Linked DNA regions of Drosophila melanogaster. The protein of the gene in region 1 purifies or fractionates together with the protein of each later gene. This does not show direct contact. Each region holds a gene or a part of one and is shown on either strand. Other genes may lie near its edges.

The links.
Region 2: the proteins of gammaSnap2 (region 1) and Ykt6 purify together in Drosophila melanogaster (affinity purification with mass spectrometry, with the first as the bait; one large-scale study listed by BioGRID). This does not show direct contact.

What each region holds. Positions count from the first base shown.
Region 1 is NT_033777.3:10,119,883-10,123,564, reverse strand, and holds gammaSnap2 (gamma soluble NSF attachment protein 2), read left to right. Parts: upstream 1-2,164; 5' UTR 2,165-2,190; coding exon 2,191-3,042; 3' UTR 3,043-3,166; downstream 3,167-3,682. Other genes in the region: knk (knickkopf), read left to right, coding at 1-71, 134-359, 414-1,041; ATPsynepsilonL (ATP synthase, epsilon subunit-like), read right to left, coding at 1,345-1,539.
Region 2 is NC_004354.4:7,918,661-7,922,745, forward strand, and holds Ykt6 (YKT6 v-SNARE), read left to right. Parts: upstream 1-1,748; 5' UTR 1,749-2,015; coding exon 2,016-2,140; intron 2,141-2,229; coding exon 2,230-2,704; 3' UTR 2,705-3,306; downstream 3,307-4,085. Other genes in the region: hdm (hold'em), read right to left, coding at 1-244, 348-504, 556-1,471.

The DNA.
Region 1 (3,682 bases):
CTTCCAGTTGAATACGTATAGTCGCAAGGATGGCATTAATACGATCAGTTTTAGGCGGACGCTCAAGTCATGTGAGTTGGTTATCATAAGTGGTATGCCTTTTGCTTACTGATGCAGCTCTTTCACATTTTAGCCGATGATGGCGATAAGGAGATCTTCCTAGACCGCAGCAACTACGTGATCTGGGCATTTGGCCCATTGGACTCCAACAACGAGCCCGCCTTTCACACTTACTATCCCAAGAGCGATATAGTGATAGATTTTAACACCACAGAACCGGTTAATGATTGCTTTGCATTTACAAAACGAGCGGAGACGACTAATCCTCCAGTGTGGGAGCGAACCAGGATAACAGATGCGTAAGACTCCAATCTTCCTGCAATGAAAATTTAATATAGTTCCTTGTTTTGCAGAACGGTACGCACATTCAACGCCTACTTGGGACCCTCTGGAGGACTTCGTGGCTATCAGGGATTGACGAATCATGTGTCCAGTGGCTTGGCCTGGTACATCAACGGCTACATGATTCCAGAGCTTTACCTAAAGCGTGGTCTGACCTACACCTTTAAGGTTAGGGGTGGCAATAATCCTCACTCGCCGGAGCACTATCATCCGTTGGTTATCACCGATGATCCCCAGGGTGGGTATGACCGACTGTCTGATGCAAAGCAGAGTGAGATTCGTGTATTAGCCGGTGTTGAATTCACCCGGAGAGGCAGGCCCAAGCCCACGGCTGCTGGTCCCCTGTGCCTGTCCAGATATCCTCAAAATAGTGATCGTCGACTGGATGATAACTTCCCCACTTTCAAGAAGTTCAATCGATCCCTCATCACCGAGTGTGTAGAAGGGGAACCGGCTCTATTGGAAATTACACCGAATATCACATGGCCGGATACTGTGTACTACAACTCCTTTACCCATGGCAATATGGGCTGGAAGATTCACATCGTGGACAGTTATACCAACTTGAAGAGTGGATCGATGGGCTTATCCTGGTCCTTGTGCATCATCCTGCTACCGTGGCTCGTGCTCCAGAACTGACTGTTTTCTCATTCTTAGATTCTCCTATTTAGTGTCTTAGTCTAAATTAAGCAGTCACAATCTATGTATTTGATACGCGTGTGTAGAATGTATGCTAAATGTTGTGTATATTATTATTTATATGATATTTAAATACAGAACTGTGTTGTACTTTAGAAGAATGAGCTATGAAGTTTTGACCCAACAAAAAATCTAATATACATCATTTTTTCAGTGAATTAGATTTATTTGAAATGTTATTGTAGAATCATGGCAGCTGTTATTCTGGATGAAACATGGTGTACAAATCACCGAAATGGGCGCCTAAGATTCGGATTCACGTTCTACCTTCTTGCGCGGCACAGGCTTTCCGTTCACCCACGGAGTGAACTTCACATGGCTGATGTTTCGCTTGGCGGCGTCTGCACGGAGCTCAATGCGCAGGGCCTCTCGCACCACACGGGCTGCGATGTTGGAATACTGGATATAGGTAATACCCAGATCTCTCCAGGCTTTCATCTTGCAGTAATATGGGATTAACTATAAAGATGTTAGGATAATAAGTCAAAAAAAGCTATCTGCATATAAAGGATCTTACCTTCTTCCGTTAAGAATTCGATATAAAACCGAGCGACGGGTTTCTTTTCAAGATTTCGCACACGATTGGTAAAGCCTATGTTAATATTTAATTGCATTAAGTTACAATATCAAAGTAAGTTAAATCAAAGCGCCTTGCTACCTCCTCACTTTAAGATCTTTTAAGGCAAAGCACGTGTCTTTTTATCGATGTTTTTTTTTTATCCAGACAGGGCTACAAACTTAATCGAACTAGGAGTTCTATGGATGCGATAAAAGTTCGATTTGAAACCAAATCGATACAATTTTTTAAATATATTCAAAATCCAGCTTACATGAAATGTAAATATAGCTTACTTTTCACCCCCCAAGCTCGCATATTATATGGTATGCATTTATTTAATTAAATACAAATATATATTTTATGCAACTTTAGTAAAGCACTTAATATTACCATAATACCAGTGTCATACCCGCATAGAAAAGGAGCGGCCTTTTGTGTTTTTCTCGGCACTTGCGCACTTGGGCACACTTATTTGAATATAAGTCACTTGAATTGATTTTTTCAACACGCAAAGGTTGTAACTTAGCACTATGAGCACTCTTGATGCCAAAAAGATAGAAGAGGCGGAGGCCTTGATAGGACAGACGGATAGTGCCGCGAATGAGTATGCCAAAGCTGGTATGTATTTCAAGGCAGCAACCGCATATCGAATTGCCAAAAGTTTCGATAAGCGCAAGGATTGTCTTTTGAAGGCCATCGACTGTTACGAAAACAACAAGTCATGGTTCCATGCAGCCAAATCCTACGAGCAGATTATCCTGCTTGCCAAAGAAACGGACAAACTGTCCGAAGTGGAGGACTATGCCAATAGGGCTTGCTGTCTCTACCAGCAACATGGTTCGCCGGAAGCAGCAGCTGCTGCTCTCGATAAAGCCGCCAAAATGACGGAATCCAAGCATCCTGACTTGGCTTTGGGATTTTACAAACGCGCCCTGGCAGTCGTCTTGATTGGGGACTCCACTCATCAGGCATCGGAATTTGCATCGAAGGTTTCCCGGATATTGGTCAGACTCAAAAAATATGAAGAAGCCACGAAAGCCCTCAAAAAGGAAATAAGCCTAAATCTGCAGACAAAGTCTTACGGACAAGTTGGCCGTTTAGTAGTTGCTTTAATACTGGTACAATTAACACTAGAGGATTACGTGGATGCCAAGAAGACCTTCAAGAAATGGGGAAACCGTTGTGATCCCCAGGAGGTGAACACATTACAAAACCTACTCAAAGCTTTTGACGACGAGGATCCTGAGCTGGCCACCAAGATGCTGGCATCTCCATTCATAAGACACATGGACGTGGAGTACGCACTTTTATCTAAAGATGTGCCATTACCAAAAGGAAATCGTCAAATGACCAAAAATGCAGTCGACAATGCCGCAAACTAAAGAGCTTTTACAAAATGTGGTTTATAAATGTTGTAGTAGTTTTATTATTGTTCCTTAGGTGAAAAAGTTTCATAAATGTAGGTACACTGTTAAAAATATACAAAAATATAAAAAGTGCTAACTCAGAAAACGCATCAGGTGAATTTATAATGCCTTTCCACAACTTTTATACGAAACATATTTTTTACCTTTAAATTTATTGTTACTCAATCTTTTACACTACTTTTTATGCATTTTATACATATTTTTTACATATCCCTAAAATTATACTAATAGTTTTGAACATCGAGTTCTAATTAAAATTATATTCGCTTAATAATATGCAACGTTTGACAAAAAAATGTTTTCAAAATTAAAATTGACAAATACATTCACGAAAAAATCTTTAAAGCATGTGTTTTAAATTCTTTTCAAATAATTGGAGCTCTCACTTAAGAAATTCGTGTTCAATTTGATCAGGAAGCCCAGCTTAACATTAAGCCCTAATTTTATTTTGAGTTATCAATCGGCTTATTGGACTTTAGATTATTTTGGACTCTTCGCCGTGCTTGTATCTGCAGCAGATAAGATACAGTTGAGACCATGTGTATAATTAGCCGTCCCATCAATAAACTTATCCACTGGACACTCGCTCCAATCG
Region 2 (4,085 bases), on another chromosome or scaffold:
TAGCTCGCTTTTCTCGCGCTCCGCCAGTCGCTCGAAGTCTTCAGCCCGAAGTCCCAGGATACGTTCTGCCGGATGTCCAGCTAACCGGGCTTCGACGAGAGTGCCGGTCTGGTCGGACAAATGAATGTTGATATTGAAGTAGCTAATGGATCGTGGTTCATCATTGTCCAATGAAAAATACTGCTGGCAGGCGTCCGAGGCGCAATCTTGCAGGTTCCGTGGTATATGTTGTTGACAGGCAATGCTGTAAAATAAAAGGGCTTTTAAGAATATGTCTTGTAAACTATGTAACGGATAGTGGGAAGCGTTTCGGCGGTTAGGAAGGGATGGGGATGTACAACACCCACCACTTCCTGTTGACGTGGGAGGTCAATCCATCCAAGTCGAACTTGGTGACCATCCCATACAGCACTGCAGTAAACTGATGTATGGACGGATCCTGCAGTTCGCCCTCGGCGCGTGAATATATCTGTCTTACCGTCATCTGCGCCTGAATGCTGGCAACTGAAAGAGTTATAGTAAATAATAATACTGCATTAATTATCCTTTACTCACCTGCAGGCATGTTGTCCAGCTCTGCCTGGTCACAGCCACTAAAAGTTGTTAGAGGCACAGTGGCGGCGAAAGCTAGCAAGAGACGGCAATCATCTCCAGCCGCCTGAGGATTTTCGCAAATAAGTGTGCAATTGGAATGGGAGAGGACGAGAGAACGATGAAAGTTCGAGTAGGAAACACGCACGTCGATCAAATGAAGGACAGTGCGACGTGGCTGCCATTGCTGGGCACGTTGTATCCAGTCGGGTTGCCAAACGGAGAGCAGCATACCTTCCGGATAGCTGGCATCGATCACGATTACTTCCAAGCACTGTAGCAGCTCCTGGACCTCACTTAGTGGCCCCTGCAGCTTTCGCTTTATCTGACGCACTGGACGCACTGCAGCCACTACTACCAGTAGATTCACATTGGTGGTGATTATCTTATCGGGAAATCCCAAGCCGGAACGCACATCCGCCAGCTTAAGGACCGCACCAAGTGGCCTTATGGGCTGATGGAGTAACTGCTGGAGAATTGTTATTTGGCCAAAGTCGTCATTGTCGTGGCGCACCACATAGCCGGATCCCTCGTTGACCACCAGGGCGCAGGAGACCGTCGCTTGGGGCTGATAACGCTGTTCTCCCGGAGCAGCAAACGGTATGGACATCACTTTAGCGCCCACAATGTCTACCACATGGCCGATCTGCAGCATGGCCGCGTACTCATCCACACAGTCCCGCTGGCCCCAGCACTTGCAATTGGTCAGGTGATTGGGGGAATCTCGGATGGTCAAGCTGAGAACCCCTCGTTCGGTGCCACTCATCTTGTCATAGAAGATGTTCGGCGAGGATTTGGAGACAATCAGGGCAACGGTGGAGAAACGGGTCATTGTGGGACGCATCTCTGCCAACCGCTGGAACTTAATACGCCTTGCCATTGAAATTATTTAAGAAATCGCGACCAGTCAGATTGCAGTGCTTAAGAAAACCGTTACATTGCCGTTACCGCCGATTAGTAGTTATCGATGTTTGTAGTGATGGTACACCACAAATGGCCGTAGATTCAGTTAGTAACAGAAAGTATTGCTAACAACTTAGTTTGATAAAAACCACAATTAAAACATTTACAGAAAGTTGCGCTTATTAATTGTAACCATTGGAATCGATAATAATCGGATGGCATCCGAATACCAGACGTACCATCCCTAATAAGCTGACACACACTACGCATATGTGCACCCGCGCACACACACACGCACACACAGAGGGGAACGGCACAGATTTACTGCGTTAAACAAACTCACTTGTCGCACTTTTCCACGAATGCCAGTGCGCTGAAAGTGAAACCCATCCGCCGGAGCATAGTAGGATTAGCCAGGACAACCGTTCAGCTCAGTGCCCCAGAAGCATTTAATTGGAGGAGCAACAGTCGAGCAACCCGCGACCCGCAGACCCAGTCTTGGCAGCCCACAGCCACTCAAAATGGTCAAACTATTCGCGTTGAGCATCTTTCACAAGGGCGCCAGCGAGGCGCGTCTCCTGAAGACCGCCTCGGACCTGCAGTCCTTCTCCTTTTTCCAACGTGGCACCGTCAACGAGTTCATGACGTGAGTATGCATGTGGATGCCAAAGAACGGCGCAGGCTCAAAGAGTCATCAATGACGAACACCCCCCTAAACAACTCCTCCTCTTGCAGTTTCGCTTCGAAGACGATTGTGGAGCGCACACAGCCGGCCCTGCGGCAATCGGTGAAACAGGATGCCTACATGTGTCATGTCTATGTGCGGGCGGACAATCTGGCCGGTGTACTGATCGCCGATCATGAGTATCCGCATCGCGTGGCGCACACGCTTATCACAAAGATTCTGGATGACTTTACGGCCAAGGTGTCGGCCGATCAGTGGCCCAATGGCACGGAGGCCACTATCTCATTTGACTTGCTGCCAGCGTTTCTAGCACGCTATCAAAATCCCGTCGAAGCAGATCCGCTGACGAAAATGCAAAACGACCTGGACGAAACGAAGATCATACTGAAGAATACCATCGAGGCGGTGCTGGAGCGGGGCGAGAAGCTGGACGACATGGTCAGCAAGTCGGAGAAATTGTCGCTGCAGAGCAAGGCGTTCTACAAGACGGCGAAAAAGACTAACTCCTGCTGCAGCTTCACCTAGACGACAGCTGCACCTCTCATCACCCCCCACCACACGCTAATCCTCTCAAGCAACAACCACAACAGGAAACACCAGAAAATGCAAATCAAAGACAACACAAAGGATAATGGATAACACGATAACACCAACAAACTACAACCAAACAAACTCCAAGGGAGCGGTGCGACTTGGGCTTTGATGATTGCTTTTTATAAATGAATTAGTTAATTTTATATACTATATATATATATTATATTATATACTGTATGAATAGGATGGCCAGTTGCCAGTTACGATAGTCCGCTAACCCAATGTCTACCTGTCTGTATATGTCTACGCTTTGGATATCTAAATGTTAATTACTACCAATACAGATTACGATCTAAACCCATGTGCTTAACATAATCTTCTCTTCACTTATGTGTTGGCACGGCGGTCCAAAATTGGCCCTTTGCTAGCTATTGATGTTGTGGGCCTTCTTATCGCCTCCACGGCGGATCTATGTATACCAATCGGATCGGAAGGCTGCACCTATGTATACACATGCAGTCGCACTTCCGATCCGGGCAACTGGCGGTCGGAATGTGTGGGCGTTTCAATAAAGAAGTATTATGGGAAATGTGAACCAAGCTCGTTTTCATTGCTCACATATACAAACCTTATCTTTGTCAATTTTGGCAAAATGTACAAACTATTTGTACGAGCTCTGTACATAGCACATGAACTTATTTTTATTTATGTAATACGTACCACTTTATCTTAAGTGCAAATTCCATTCCTCCCAAAAAAGCAAAATCAATTTAAAAGTGATTTTCTGTTGGCGTTTATTTATTATATAGAAGACACCTATTTCGCTTCTTGTAAAGATTTCCGTTACATTTTTCATATTTATGCGTTTTCCTTACGTTTTCGTGTTTAACCTTTTGGATTTTGGTTATGTTTAATGGGTTCGGTTTGTATAGCCTAGTATAAGATAGGTAAATCGATTACAATTTAGTTTTCGCCCCCTCTCCATCGCAATTTTCTTGTGTGTTTGCGCGGGGAGAAAGGGGAGGCGGTGCATTATAAATATATGCATTATACTGCATACCTATATCGTTTCGTTATAATTAATATAATATTGTGTGTGCTAACTTAGCTTAAGCTGCAAACATTGATTCAAACGCGTTTGCTTGGCTTCTCGTTTTTTATTGATTTGCATCAACATTGTATGCATTTTTTTTTTGTGTTAGTGATCTATAGTAATATTTAGAATTTATTCAAATGCTTTCAATATATGCAAGTGTAAATATTAGTCGATGCAATGTTCTAAATGCACGCTCCTTCGAAATGGCTAAGAATTTGCATTTGTGTTTCCTGGTATGTGTATTTTTTCTTCTCAATTTTTTCGCTAAAAATTAGC